Callithrix jacchus: one gene and its partner. The protein of the gene in region 2 purifies or fractionates together with the protein of the main gene of each other region. This does not show direct contact. Links are inferred from orthologs where the notes say so. Each region holds a gene or a part of one and is shown on either strand. Other genes may lie near its edges.

Region 1 (7,069 bases), about 36 Mb from region 2:
GAAAACGAATTGTGGAAAATTACAAAGGCCACCTTACAAGGTAGATTTCAAAGAAACATGGCAGGATGTTTGTAGAACTTGAAGACAGAAAGTATTGAAAAGGCACAGAAAGCAGGAGCGTAACCTTCACTAACCTCTTTCAGAGGGTGGAGAGGCTTGACAGTATATGGGCATGATTATCTCTGGTAGCCCATTCTGGACTAAGGATTTTGTGAACTTACAATTTAGAGTGCCCATAATGTCATACGTTCACCTTCCTTCTCCCTAACCCACTGAGTATTAATTCTCCCAGGCAGGGGACTAGCTTTTCAGGCCACATGTAAGCCTTGATCAGCTTTAGCTTGAGGATTTGGGGGCGGGGAGGGATGATGGAGAGAAATAAGGTTAGGGTTAGTCTTTGAATGGAAGAAACAGGAATATAAATCCTTGTCTGTGCTGATCATGCTTTTCAAGAAAGGCTGAAATTCGGCCGGGCTTAGTGGCTCATGCCTGTAATCCCAGCACTTTGGGAGACCGAGGTGGGCAGATCATGAGGTCAGGAGTTCGAGACCAGCCCGGTTAACATGACAAAACCCTGTCTCTACTAAAAACACAAAAATTAGCCAGGCGTGGTGGCAGGTGCCTGTAATCCCAGCTACTCAGGAGGCTGAGGCAGGAGAATTGCTTGAACCTACGAGGTGGAGATTGCAGTGAGCTGAAAGGCTGAAATTCAGGCCCAATGGACATACTTACAGCCTTAACATCTCTCGGAATGAAAGTTTTCTTTCTTCCCAGTACCTTGATCAAATTCAAACTATTTTCCTCATTCCTTCCTTATACAACCCAGGTGCTCGGGTTGAAATAATTTTCCTCAGATCCAGGAAGCTCTGGCCTAGCCCTCCCTCTAGAAAGGAAAGTCCAAGTAAAGAGGGATGCCACACCCGGGGAAGGGAGAGAGGATGTGACAATACCTCCAGGAATGCAGGGCCCACGCAGGTGCACTGGCACCCATGAACTTCCTTTTTAAAAGGGCCTGATAAATCAGTACCGATAACAGGAGTAAAATTCAACCACCCAACAACACTCACTCACACAGAGCTGGGTGCTGCTCCCAGGGTGTGGTCCTGCCAATCAGGGAGAGGAGGGGGAAACCTAAGAATCCAGCTCTCTAAAGGTGGTGACATGGTTTCTAGTCCAGCCATGATCAGAATGTGGTCCCTGGGAGTCCCTGAGACCCCTTTATGGGGGGGGTCTTTGCAAAGCCAAAACTGTTTTCACAAAACTAAGATGTCATTTGTTCTCCTCATTGTCATTGTCTGGAGAGTATACAATGGAGTTTTCCAGAAGGGACAAGACGTGATGACATCATCAGTCTGATGACTGTTGGAATGCATGCTGGTGTATTCCCATGTTTTAGACACATCCGTTTTAATTCTAAGATAAATACTGAAAGATATAACACATAAAGTACTTTGGGGTCCTCCATGATTTTTAATAGTGTAAACGGGTCTTGAGAACAATAAAGTTGGGAACTGCTGTGCTAGTCCAAACGGGAGTTACAGGCCCTGCAGCTGCTCTGATAGGCACTTTATTTCCGGCTGAGCTTGAGTCACCTCGTATGTGCTTTCGTACAGCGGGTGGAGGCAGCTTGCTTATTTATTATTCAGCTTGGATTGGTGTCCTTTCCACCTGTGCTGCCACCTCAGAAGACCAGAAAAACCTTAAATTCCCCCACAAACGTCTGGTGACCTGAATCCTCCAGGGGGAAAAAAAAATGAGCTTCTCACCTTTGAACACAGGTGGGGCAAAGTGAGCCTGCAGAAAGGACACCCTCAGCTGCAGCACAGTACCCACTGGGAGTCAGGCTCTGTACTACTCAATGACAGCAAAGCCCAAGTGCTCCCTGCCTTCGGGAGCTTTCATTCTATGCTGGAGGCGGATTACTCACAAAACTCAGATGCACACAAAAATGGAAACCTGGAACTTGTCACCCGTGCTGGGAAACCGGTACAAGTGTTAGGAGGCATCCGAGGTGGGCAGGGAGGTAAGGGGAGGAAGGCACTCAAACCACTCTTCTTGCCAGATCTAAAGCTGGACCCTCCTCCTCCACCTCCACTCCCCCACCCCCTTTCTGGTTTGCAGGTTTCAACAGCTCTTGGATTCCCAGAACCCACAGGGAGCCCTTGGGACTTGGGAATCTCCTCCAGCCCAAATCTTCAGTCTTCTCCTCTCCTCCCCATGGCCAACAGGGTCTGTGTGAAGAGAGGCCGGGCTCAGGGACTGGGACATTCAGAGAGGAGAATTCAGAGTTTTGTTGCTCTGGGACACAGCTTGGTCACTCCGGGAAACGAACACAACCCATTGGCTGTCATTACTAGAAACAGCGAATGGCTAAGGAATGGCGGGAGGAGGGAAGAGGACTTCAGAGGTTTAAAGAAAAAAAAAAAAAAAAAAAGCACTGGAAGACCGGACTAGAAATCCTCTGGGAGGCTGGGCCCGCAAGGAGCCTTCCCGCGCCTCAAGCCCACTTTCCTTCCCTCTCGACCTGACGAACTTAGGGCGTGCAGAGTCTCTTCGGACAAAGTCAAGCCAAGAGAGCCCTAAGCTTCTCCTCCAGCAACTGCTACAGAAGCTAGAAAACTTAAATTTTGCAAACAAGACTTGCAGCGGGACACCTAAGCGACGCTAAAGGGCGGTGGAGGGGATGCCGCTTCCCAAAGTGGAAGCGGGGAGGGGGACCGGCGGACACCAAACAGCCCCGTGGAGCCTCGGCCACCGGCAGCGCTAGGCGCCCCATCCCCAGAGCCAAGCGTGTGACTCGCGCGCCGGACAACGAGGCGCGCGCTTGCGCGTGCGCAAAAGACCCACCCAGCCGAGCCCTTCTTCAGGTGCGCTCGCGCTTCCGGCCGACCGCCCCGCGTGCTTTCCTCGGGCGGAAACTCCAGAACCCGCGCATGCGCCCTCTGGCTCTCCGGCTTGATGAGGGGCGTAGGTCCACGGCTTCAGGTGATCCCGCCCCTCCCTCGAAGCGCAGGACCAATCGCGCAGCGAAAGGCGGGGTTTTTTGAGGAGGCGGCCCGCCCACGCATCGCGCGAGGCGTGTATCGATTGGTTGGCGCCGCGGGCGCAGGTGCGCGTTTCCTATTGGGTGTGGGCGGAGCGCGAGCGGTTGCAGCAGCTTCGGGGGCGGCAGGTGAGCACGCGCACGCGCCGCGGCTGTGGCCCGGCTCGGGTGCGCGCGCGCGGGCTCGCGGAGGAGGTGGCTGAGGGAGAGGTTGCGGCGCCTGTGGCCTCCGCTCCGCCCCCTCCTCCTCCTCCTCCTCCAGCGCTGTCGTCGCCGCCGCCGCCGGGGCCCGGAGGGAGGGAGCTGCGTCTCCGCCCGCCGCACAGCCAGTCCGACCCTCGGTCCCGCCGTGTGAGCAGCCGACCGAGTGCAGCTCGGCGCAGACGCCAGAGGTGCGGCCGCCTTCTTTGCAGGTGCCTGTGAGGAGGCTCCCGGGCCGCAGCCGCCTTCCGAGCCCGCCGGCCGCGCACTCGCTCCCTGCTCTCCAGAGGGGCCGCCCGGCCGGAGGAGGCCGCCGCTGGCCCGGCGTTCAGCATGAATCGCAGCCACCGGCACGCGGCGGGCAGCGGCTGCCTGGGCACCATGGAGGTGAAGAGCAAGGTGCGCGGGGCACGGGCTGGGCGGAGCGGCGGGCCTGGGGGGCCAGGGCCTGGGAGAGGCTGGGCAGGTCTCGGAGCGCCGGGGGAGGCGACGGTCCGAGCTGCCCCGGGGTCTGGACGTGCGGGCGGGGGATGGTGGGTAATAAACTTGCCGAGGAGGGTGCGGCGGGGGTCGGTGGGCGCTAGTGTCCGTCCGCCCATGGCCCCGGCAGGAAGAAGATCTAATCCAGCGTTTAATCTCGTCCCGTAAATCTCATTCCCGTGTTCACGGCTGGGAGTAGGGGCCAAGGTATGCCCGAGGATGGCACACATTTAGTGGAATGCGAGGCGGCTCAAAAGATGTAGGGGAATCCTGCCTGCTGGGCTGTGAATAAAGGGCCCTGGACCACCTCGTTCCCCCTTTCTGGGGTTCAGGGGCGCATCGAGTGGCGAAGGAGAGAGCCCAGTGAACTAAATAGCCCTTGAAAAGTTCCCTTTGCTTCCTGCTAGCGCTCTTTCTAGAACTAACTTTGGTATGCATTTAATCTGTAAAATTAGCGCTATCACCTTACGCTGGAGTAGCACTTTACAGTTTGAGTTTGGATGCTCTTTTCATTCCATCCTGCTACTTACTTACATCAAGTGTTTTTCCCCTTGACCAGCGGTATGCCAATCTGCTGATAATTATTTCGGTATTCACTGAATTCCTAAATCGCAAGGCTCGGTGAGCAGGGGAGTCTGTAGGGATTAGTTAGGGAATGCCTTCCAAAGGGGGTTTTGAGATGGAGTTTGAAGGTGATCGGCAGCTACGGGAACATTTTCGACGAAGTTTCTTGAGTTGAAGAGTTAAAAGGAGCTTAGATAGTCTAGTCCAATTCTCTGAGAAGACTGAGGTTCAGAAAGGTTATGACTTCCCAAGCTCTTTTTTTGCAATGCCTTCATGCCTTTTTAACAGTAACTTTTAGGCACTGCAGAATACAAAACAGGGCACTGGCTGGGCCCTCGGAACATTTAAAATAGAATTGAAAAGGCCAAAACACAGAAAACGAAAAAATTGAAAGCGTATCAATTTCAAAAAAAAAAAAAGAAGTAATGGAGCGTCATAGATTGTAAGCCTACTAAGGAGTATGCAGAATCAAGGAGTGAGTTGAGTGGAGTAAGGAAAGCTTTCTAGAGCCTCTGGGTAGAATGGTTTTATTGTCTACGGTTGATAAGCAAAGTTCTGTAAGTTTCTGTAACTGAGAATCACATCGAGAAAATCTACATTTGTTTGTAACATCATTTAAAAATGTGATTTGGCACTGAAATGAGGATTGGCACTAGTTTCAGAATCAGTAAGAAGTGTAGTTATAGCAATTTAAGGAATGTTCGTGTGTCTGTGTGCCATGTGCACGGCATAGCAAATTGAAGTGACTTGCTTGAGCTATATAGCGTGAAGATGACCCAAAATATGTAGCAGAGCTTTTCCTCTAGCGGTATAGTGGCAGTAGTGGTTCCGTGCCCAGTGGTTGAACCTTCTTACAGCATTTCTGTTATAAGTCTCGTTTGGATTTGTGGGCGTTGAGGTTATGGAAAGAAAAACACTTGTGATATTGCATAATCTTAAAAATAAGTTTATAGCCCTAATTTGGGTAGCAAATCTTTAATTTTTTTCTCATAAAAAATGAGTTGGAATTCTGTTTTATCAGTATTTATCAGCATGCTGATAAATACAATCAAATAGTAGTTTATCTCTAGTACTAAGAAACCTTGAGTGCTTTAAAACTGGAATTTCAGGCTTTTTGCCTTTCTCTTGTCAACTGATTTTTGAATCTTTCACATACTTCTGTCTAAACTACATGTTGTATATTTGAACTGCCATACTGCACTTTTAGTGAACCATGTCTCTTAAGTAGACTCATACACTGATTCTAGAAACATGCACTGAATGAATGCACTGAATGCACTATTCTAGCTGTTGACAAATAGGCAAGGTATAGGTAGGGGAGTATTCCTAATGTGTCTGTGACACCTTCTATCTTTCAAATATATATTTCTGATACATTTATTTTCAGCGGATTGAAATATTTGTCATCTAATCATTTAAAAAATATTTGGAGGGGTTTTTAAAACAGTATTTCCTTTGACATTGCTTTAGTGATAGCACAGCTTTTTTACAACACTAATCCCTAAGAGTTTGTAACGAAATAGGTAGTGTGCAGGTCCTTTTATTAATTCTTTTATTTTTCGTGTCAGGATCTTGCTCTGTCACTGGGGCTGGAGTACAATGGCACGATCATGGCTCACTGCAGCCTTAACCTCTCGGGCTCAAGTGATTCTCCCACTTCAGCCTCCTGAGTAGTGGGATTATACGCATGCGCCACTACACCCAGGTAATTTTTTTTTTTAATAGAGACGGGGGTCTTGCCAAGTTGCCCAGGCTGATCTTGAACTCCTGAGCTCAAGTGATGCCCCCATCTCTGCCTCCTGAAGTACTGGGACTACAGGCATGAGCCACTGCACCCTACCTGGTCTATTTTTCTTTTCTTTTATTTATTTTTATTTTTTAAAATCTTTTTAGAAACAGTTTTGCCATGTTGCTCATGCTGGTTTCTAACTCCTTAGCTCAAGTGATCTGCCCACCTAGGCCTTCCAAAGTGCTGGGATTACAGGAGGTAGCCACCACACCGGGTTCTCGTCCATTTTTAATATCTCTTTTTCTTCATATAAAGCAGTAGTGTCAGCCGTGTGTGGTGGCTCACTCCTGTAATCCCAGCACTTTGGGAGGCCAAGGTGGGCGAATCACCTGAGGTCAGGAGTTCAAGACCAGCCTGGCCAACATGATAAAATCCTATCTCTACTAAAAACACAAAAATTAGTTGTGCTTGGTGCTGCATGCCTGTCATCCCAGCTACTTGGGAGGCTGAGGCAGGAGAATCATGTGAGCCTGGGAGGTGGAGGTTGTGGTGAGCCGAGATTGTGTCACTGCACTCCAGCCTGAGTGACAGAGGGAGACTCCGTCTCAAAAAAATAAAAAGTTTGAAAAATGAATTAAAGCAGTAGTGTCAACTTTCTTATCTTTGCAAGTGGCAGGGAAAAATAATGATAATAAAATAATGGAGAACGTAAATATAAGTATAGTTAAATTTGTGATACCAGCTAGTATGTCACTTTTCTTTGGAAACTGATTTATCTTCCTAACTGTATCTCTAGTGTTGGAAAGATTCTTAATCAATAATCATGGTGATGTCCTTTAATAACCCTGGAACAGTCTTTGAGTCATAAAATTTCCTAATTATTATTCATAAGCAAATAGACTATGAAAATTAAGTTTGTATTTCTAGAATGTACCAACAGACACTGGGGGAAGGGAGTCCATACCTATTCTGGATGGCTAGGACAAACTAGATTAGGCTGTAAAACAGTTGTAAATGGTTCACATAGTGACTAATTGCTGATTGAATCTTAA
Region 2 (6,383 bases):
CCTTCCTTGCTTCCCCTGACCACTGCCTGGAGCCCCTCAGATTGGGAAACTGAGGCTGGATAGGGCCAGCCCTGGTCACTAGAAGCTGTCCCTCCTCCTGCCAGGCTGGCCCCATCTCCTTGACGACCCTGGTTACTGCCCAGCTGCTCCTGTCCCCTCTTTTGTCCCTTCTTCAGAGTTCCTTGCCAGGCCTGTAGGGAATCCCAGCTCAAGCTCTAGGCAACGGCTCCTGTGTTGTCACTGGGGCAACGTTGCTGACTCCCCTGCATCCTCTGTCCTGGGGGCCCTCAGGCCCGCCCTGCAGTTCACCATCAGCCCTGGAGTTGCTGGGACTCAGGCACTGACACTGGGCACTTCAAGCAGGTCACCCGACCCCTCCAAGTCTCTGTGCTCATCTGTTGAATGGGCAGGCTAGGGTCTCTCCTCCCTCATGGTGGCGGTTGTTGGCTGCCTGCCTCGGAGGGAGGTGGGTTTTCTTACCCATGGCTGAAGTTTGGCCTGAAGCTGTGGGAAAAGGCAGGCTGAACTCTCCTCCCCTCTGGCTTTCTTGTCCAGGCCTGGCCTTGCATATTTGGCCTGCCTGGTCCCATCTGGCGAGGCACAGCTCCCAGAGCCCACAGACACCTGGGGCTGAAGTGAAGCGAAGCCCCAGCCTCTCACCAGGCTGAGGCCAAGCCTGCTGGGCGTGTGTATTCTCACTTGATCTGCAACAGCCCTCCAAGGCGTGGGAGTCACTGACTCAGTTTACAGGAAGTGAAGGTCTCATAGCAGCACCCGACTTGCAGGAGTGAGTGGAGCCTGCACACCCAGCTTGGGGATACTGTGGAGGTGCAGGGTGGGAGCTTTAGGGAGGGGGCCTCCGTTCTTCAGAGATGACTCCTGGATGGTCAGCCCATGGTGGGGCCCACCAGAAATAGTCTGGGTGAAGGAGGAGCCTTGGGTATCTCTTGCCATGATTTCCTGGTCTATGCCTGTTTCCACCTTGACCCGCCACCCTCAGCTATGGTGCTCCTGGTGTGGAATTCACAGGCCTACACCGGGATGCAGCCACCGTCACACAGATGCACTTCTTGCCCGGCCAGGTGAGCCTCTGCATCCCACTGGCCAGCTCCCTGTGGCCCCCATATCCACTCACTCCCCTAGGCCAGCCCAGTTTTCATCTCTGCTCATATACCAGGGCCGCCTCCTGACCCTGCTTGATGACAGCAGCCTGCATTTGTGGGAGATTGTCCACCATAATGGCTGTGCCCACCTGGAAGAGGCACTGAGCTTCCAGCTGCCCAGCCGTCCCGGCTTTGATGGTGCCAGGTACTGGAGAACTTGGCTGGGGCCAACCACCAGGCGGGGAGGATCCAGGGAGGCTCTGAGAGCCTGCTGTGTAAAGGCAGCATGGGGACGGGCAGCTGCTAGCAGGGGCTGGGTTCAGGGAGCCGTGCCTTGAGCCGTGCCTGGGTCCTAGGCTGCAGCTGTTGGACCCTGCAGACAGCGAGTCTGGTCTGATGCTGTCCCACCCCCCAGGCCCCTTTCCCTGCAAGGCCGTCAACAAGATTCTGTGGCGGAACTGTAAATCTGGGTAGGTCAAGGGAGTGGGTGTCTGATGTGAGTGAGGTGTACTCTGCGAACTTTTCAGGTTAAATGGGAAGTTTGGGTTGAGTCGAGGTGAGCAAGTAGTTAACATTGTGAACAGCAGGAGGTATATGCATTATATGCCAAACTCCTAGGACCTGAGGCCTGGCACTACACTTACTACATTGATGGGGGTATCTAGGGGTTTGGGGCAGGGCCTAAGCCAGTAAAATAACAGCAAGAGTCCCCTGGCCCCTCAGTTGTGGGTGGGAGACAGGCCTTTCTCTGCATAGGTGAGAGGACAGGCTTGAGGGCATGGAGGGTCCCATGGGCTGTGTTTGGTGAGGTGCTGGCAGCATGCCCCAGCTGAGTGAGAGTAGGGGGCATCCCTCTCCCCAGCCCTGCCTGAAATAGCTGGAATAAGGGAGTCCTAACCCAGGGTTGGATTCCTGGTGCCTCCCAGCTTCTGCAGATGGGGGTATCTGGGGCCCTCCTGTGAAGTGAGGAGATATCTGAGGGTTGGCAGCACGTTTCCTAGGTGGGGCTCAGGGAGGAGCTCCTGGTCCTGGCTTGGGCAATGCCCTGGTTCCTGCTGTCCTCTCCTGGTGGGTGGGAGGAGCTGGGAGCTCAGTCTGCAAGACCTGGGGAGCCTATTTTTATCTGTCTCCCTGCTGACATCCTGATGAATAATTGAGCGGGCTGATTATGACCCATGTCTTCCTGGGGTGGCTCTGTAAGTAGGCCCTAGTGTGTGCTGTGGAACCAGCGATGAGTTATCAGCAGTGGCCCAGCCCCTCACACCCCACCTCAGCAGGTGGATGGGCTCCCACCCTCACTCCCTTCCCCTTGTTACCTGCAGTGTACCACCCAGCCTTACTCGAGTCACAGTGGTCCTGCTAGTGGCTGCCAGCGACATAGCAGCCCTGGGCACTGAGGGCAGCAGTGTCTTCTTCCTGGATGTGACCACCCTGACCCTGCTTGAGGGGCAGACGCTCGCCCCAGGCGAGGTTCTGCGCAGGTAAGAGGCCTGGTGGGCTTCCTAGCACACACTCTATGCCCGGGAGGTTCTCCTGGCTCACACCCACCTTTCTTCACAGCGTGCCAGATGACTACCGCTGCGGAAAGGCGCTGGGCCCTGTGGAGTCGCTCCAGGGACACCTGTGGCACCCCACGAAGATTCTCATTGGCTACAGCCGGGGCCTGCTGGTCATCTGGAACCAGGCCTCACAGTGTGCGGACCACGTCTTCCTGGGGAATCAGGTAGGTGGGTGAGGCCTGTGTCCCCTCAGCCTGGGACCCTTGTGCACGCCCACCATGGCTCATGCCTGCCTGTTTGCCCACACCTGCCCACAGCAGCTGGAGAGCCTATGCTGGGGGCGTGACAGCAGCACTGTCGTCAGCTCGCACAGCGATGGCAGCTACGCTGTCTGGTCTGTGGATACCGGCAGCTCCCCAATGCTGCAGCCCACAGTGGCCACCACACCTTACGGTGAGTGCTGGGGAGGCTTCAGCCAGAGGGTGGTGACAGGAGGAGGCACCACTGAGCCAAGCCAAACTGGCTGAGGAGTGACTCCCCTGAGGGCCTGGTCTGGGGGCAGTGTGCCTCTCCCCCACCCCCCACGACTTTCCGGGGAGGCAGGAGGCAGCTGCAAGGTAGAGAGCAGTAGAGGAATGGCAGAAGTGCTAAGAACCACCAGCGAGTCTGGTCTGATGCTGTCCCACCCCCCAGGCCCCTTTCCCTGCAAGGCCATCAACAAGATTCTGTGGCGGAACTGTGAATCTGGGTAGGTCAAGGGAGTGGGTGTCCGATGTGAGTTGGGTCTCGATGGGGGCTGGAAGGGTGGGCTCTGCCTGGGACATGCAGTATGTACTCCAGAACCAGGTGGCTCATGGCTCTCACACCTCCCTCCACACACAGGGGCCACTTTATCATCTTCAGTGGTGGCATGCCCCGTGCCAGCTATGGTGACCGCCACTGTGTGAGTGTGCTTCGAGCTGAGACATTGGTGACGCTGGACTTCACCTCCCGCATCATCGACTTCTTCACTGTACACAGTATTCGGCCTGAGGATGGTGGGTGCCCTGCCCTGCCCTACCCTACCCTTTCCCAGCCCCACCTGGCACCTTTGCCACCTGTGGCTGCACTCACCCCATGGCCCTTCCATCCCACAGAATTTGATGACCCCCAAGCGCTGGCTGTGCTGCTGGAAGAGGAGCTGGTGGTGTTGGACCTGCAGACTCCTGGCTGGCCAGCGGTGCCCGCCCCATACCTGGCCCCACTGCATTCGTCTGCTATCACCTGCTCGGCCCATGTGGCCAATGTCCCCGCCAAGCTGTGGGCCCGCATAGTGAGCGCTGGCGAGCAGCAGAGCCCCCAGCCTGTCTCCAGTGCCTTGGTGTGTTCGGGGGTTGGGGAGTCTTGCAGGGTGGAGTCTTGATGAGTGGGGAGTGTTCCAGTTCTAGGCCTGGGGGTCAGAATGTGCCATGCGTGGGATGAGAGGGAGAAGATGTTTGTCCTAACCTTGTGTGCACATCTCTGCCACCCCCTCCCAGAGCTGGCCCATCACTGGGGGCCGGAACCTAGCCCAGGAGCCGTTGCAGCGAGGGCTGCTGCTGACCGGGTAGGTGTGCATGCGTATGTGGGTGAGGGGCCCCTTGCTGTTGGGGGAGAGCCCAGGAGACTCAGGCCTGGCCCCTGGTGGAACCAGGTAGTTCCTCATTGCCTAGGGTGGATTGGGATGAAACCTCCCTGGACCTTGGTTCAAGGTGCTGGCTGCCCTGCTCTGCCTTTTGGCCTGGAACTAAGCTCTACCAAACCTGAGGGCTCCACCCACCCAGCCTGCCTGCCCTGGGACTGGAAAATCTGGGCTGGCCCACACTGAGGTACCCAGGGAAGGTGCCAGAGAGCCCAACCTGGGCCTGGCGGGCACTGACGTGCCCGGTGACTCAAGCCCCAACTTCCTGCCCTGCCCCCACTCCCACCTGTGCTGGGACCCTCAGGCCTCTGGCTCTGGTGTGCCCTTCCTTGCTGAAGAGCTTACTGTGGCTTTCAGGGTTGCTGGAGTGTCTCAGCCAGTCACACACCTTTCATGCCCTGGCTCTGGGCTCTCACCACCGCCTGGGGCCCTGCTTGGGCTCTGCAGCTGTGTCCTAAGGCTGTGCCCTAGATTTGTCTGCTCCTTCCCCTGCCCCTCCCTGCTTCCTCCCAGCCTCTGCAGTCTTCCTGCTCCTCCACCTACGTGGCTGTCTTGGGCCCCAGACAGCTCCTCCCCCTGGGATGCCCCACACTCTGTGACTGCCCTTGCTCTTGATCACTTTTGATAAGTGCTCCAGTGTGGACAGAACCCCTATAGTCCTCTGCTCTCTGCATGTCCCCTTCTGCTACTTCCTTTTAATCAGGGTGGTCATTTCCACCCTGTTTGGTTTAAAGGGCCCACGTGTATGTGTTTCATGTGGCCTGGCATAGAGCGGGTGCACAGTGCGCCTGTGCTGTATACAGTAGGTGCCTATTGCTTGTCATAACAATAGGATTCCAGTCAGTGTTTGGCACGCGCGGTATGTGCTTAGTGAGTGGTCATCGGATAAGTGAATGGAGGGGTTGTACAGGCCTTCCAGGAACCCAGGGGTGGCCCTGACATCTGCCCTCCCTGCAGCCATGAGGACGGCACTGTGAGGTTCTGGGATGCCTCGGGTGTGGCGCTGCGGCCACTGTATAAGCTGAGCACAGCCGGACTCTTCCAGACAGACTGTGAGCACGCTGACAGCCTGGCCCAGGCTGCTGAGGACGACTGGCCACCATTCCGCAAGGTGGGCCCCTCCCCTGGCCCTGAGGAGCTGGTCCCTACTCTGCCTGGACTCATCATTCCTTCCCCTCCTTCCAGGTGGGCTGCTTCGATCCCTACAGTGATGATCCCCGGCTTGGTGTGCAGAAGGTTGCTCTCTGCAAGTACACAGCCCAGATGGTGGTGGCTGGCACTGCAGGCCAGGTAGGGCTGGGTGTGCCCTGGGTTGGAGATGTCAGGGAGGGTTTTCTGGAGATGGGTCTTAACTGGAGGGTCTGGTGGAGGGGGAGATGGACTGGCACAGGCAAAAGCCAAGGTGGGAATAGGGCTCCTGGTGGGACTGGTGGGGCTGGCTGGGGTGAGGACAGATAGGAAGTGGCCTGTTGCTGGGGGCCTTGAATCAGGTTCTGGCCGGGGGTCGGGAAACACAGAGTGTTGAAGAGGGGGCAGGAACTCGTGCCCATTCTGTGCTCAGGTGCTCTCATGGCATACAGGAAGTGCTCACTGTGCCCTTATTGCTAACTGGGAGACAGAGGCTCAGGGTAAGGATGGGCACTTCGCTCTCAGAGGGCAGGGACTAGTGTGTCTTGGTCACCACTGTGTTCCTTGGTGCTCAGCAAGGGCCTTGGTATACAGTAGGCATTCAGTGAGTGCATATTTGGCTGATGAACTGAAGACAGTCCTAGAACCACCTTGGTGGTACCTGGGGCTGCTTCAGAGGCTACAGGCCGAGTGGGGCCCTGGGCAGCCCCTCCCCTGTGCTGACATTCCGCCTGCCTGGCTGTGGACTCAGGTGCTGGTACTGGAGCTCAGTGATGTGCCGGCGGAGCAGGCGGTCAGCGTGGCCATCGTGGACCTCCTCCAGGACCGTGAGGGCTTCACATGGAAGGGCCATGAGCGGCTGAGCCCACGCACAGGGCTGCTGCCCTGGCCTGCTGGCTTCCAGCCCCGTGTCCTGGTACAGTGCCTGCCGCCAGCTGCTGTCACCGCTGTCACACTCCACACCGAGTGGAGCCTCGTGGCCTTTGGCACCAG

The links. The genes of interacting proteins can lie anywhere in the genome.
Region 1: the proteins of LLGL1 (region 2) and PARD6B purify together in Homo sapiens (affinity purification with mass spectrometry; 5 studies listed by BioGRID and IntAct, counting the BioPlex papers as one, with this or other methods). This does not show direct contact. The link is inferred for Callithrix jacchus from reciprocal best matches to the Homo sapiens genes LLGL1 and PARD6B.

Annotation. Positions count from the first base shown.
Region 1 is NC_133506.1:46,269,410-46,276,478, forward strand, and holds the start of PARD6B (partitioning defective 6 homolog beta), read left to right. Parts: upstream 1-3,371; 5' UTR 3,372-3,577; coding exon 3,578-3,643; intron 3,644-7,069. UniProt on the Homo sapiens protein: Adapter protein involved in asymmetrical cell division and cell polarization processes. Probably involved in formation of epithelial tight junctions.
Region 2 is NC_133506.1:82,662,643-82,669,025, forward strand, and holds part of LLGL1 (lethal(2) giant larvae protein homolog 1), read left to right. Parts: intron 1-1,000; coding exon 1,001-1,082; intron 1,083-1,177; coding exon 1,178-1,308; intron 1,309-2,425; coding exon 2,426-2,584; intron 2,585-2,663; coding exon 2,664-2,826; intron 2,827-2,919; coding exon 2,920-3,055; intron 3,056-3,295; coding exon 3,296-3,350; intron 3,351-3,484; coding exon 3,485-3,639; intron 3,640-3,738; coding exon 3,739-3,962; intron 3,963-4,119; coding exon 4,120-4,187; intron 4,188-5,219; coding exon 5,220-5,373; intron 5,374-5,447; coding exon 5,448-5,552; intron 5,553-6,141; coding exon 6,142-6,383. UniProt on the Homo sapiens protein: Cortical cytoskeleton protein found in a complex involved in maintaining cell polarity and epithelial integrity. Involved in the regulation of mitotic spindle orientation, proliferation, differentiation and tissue organization of neuroepithelial cells.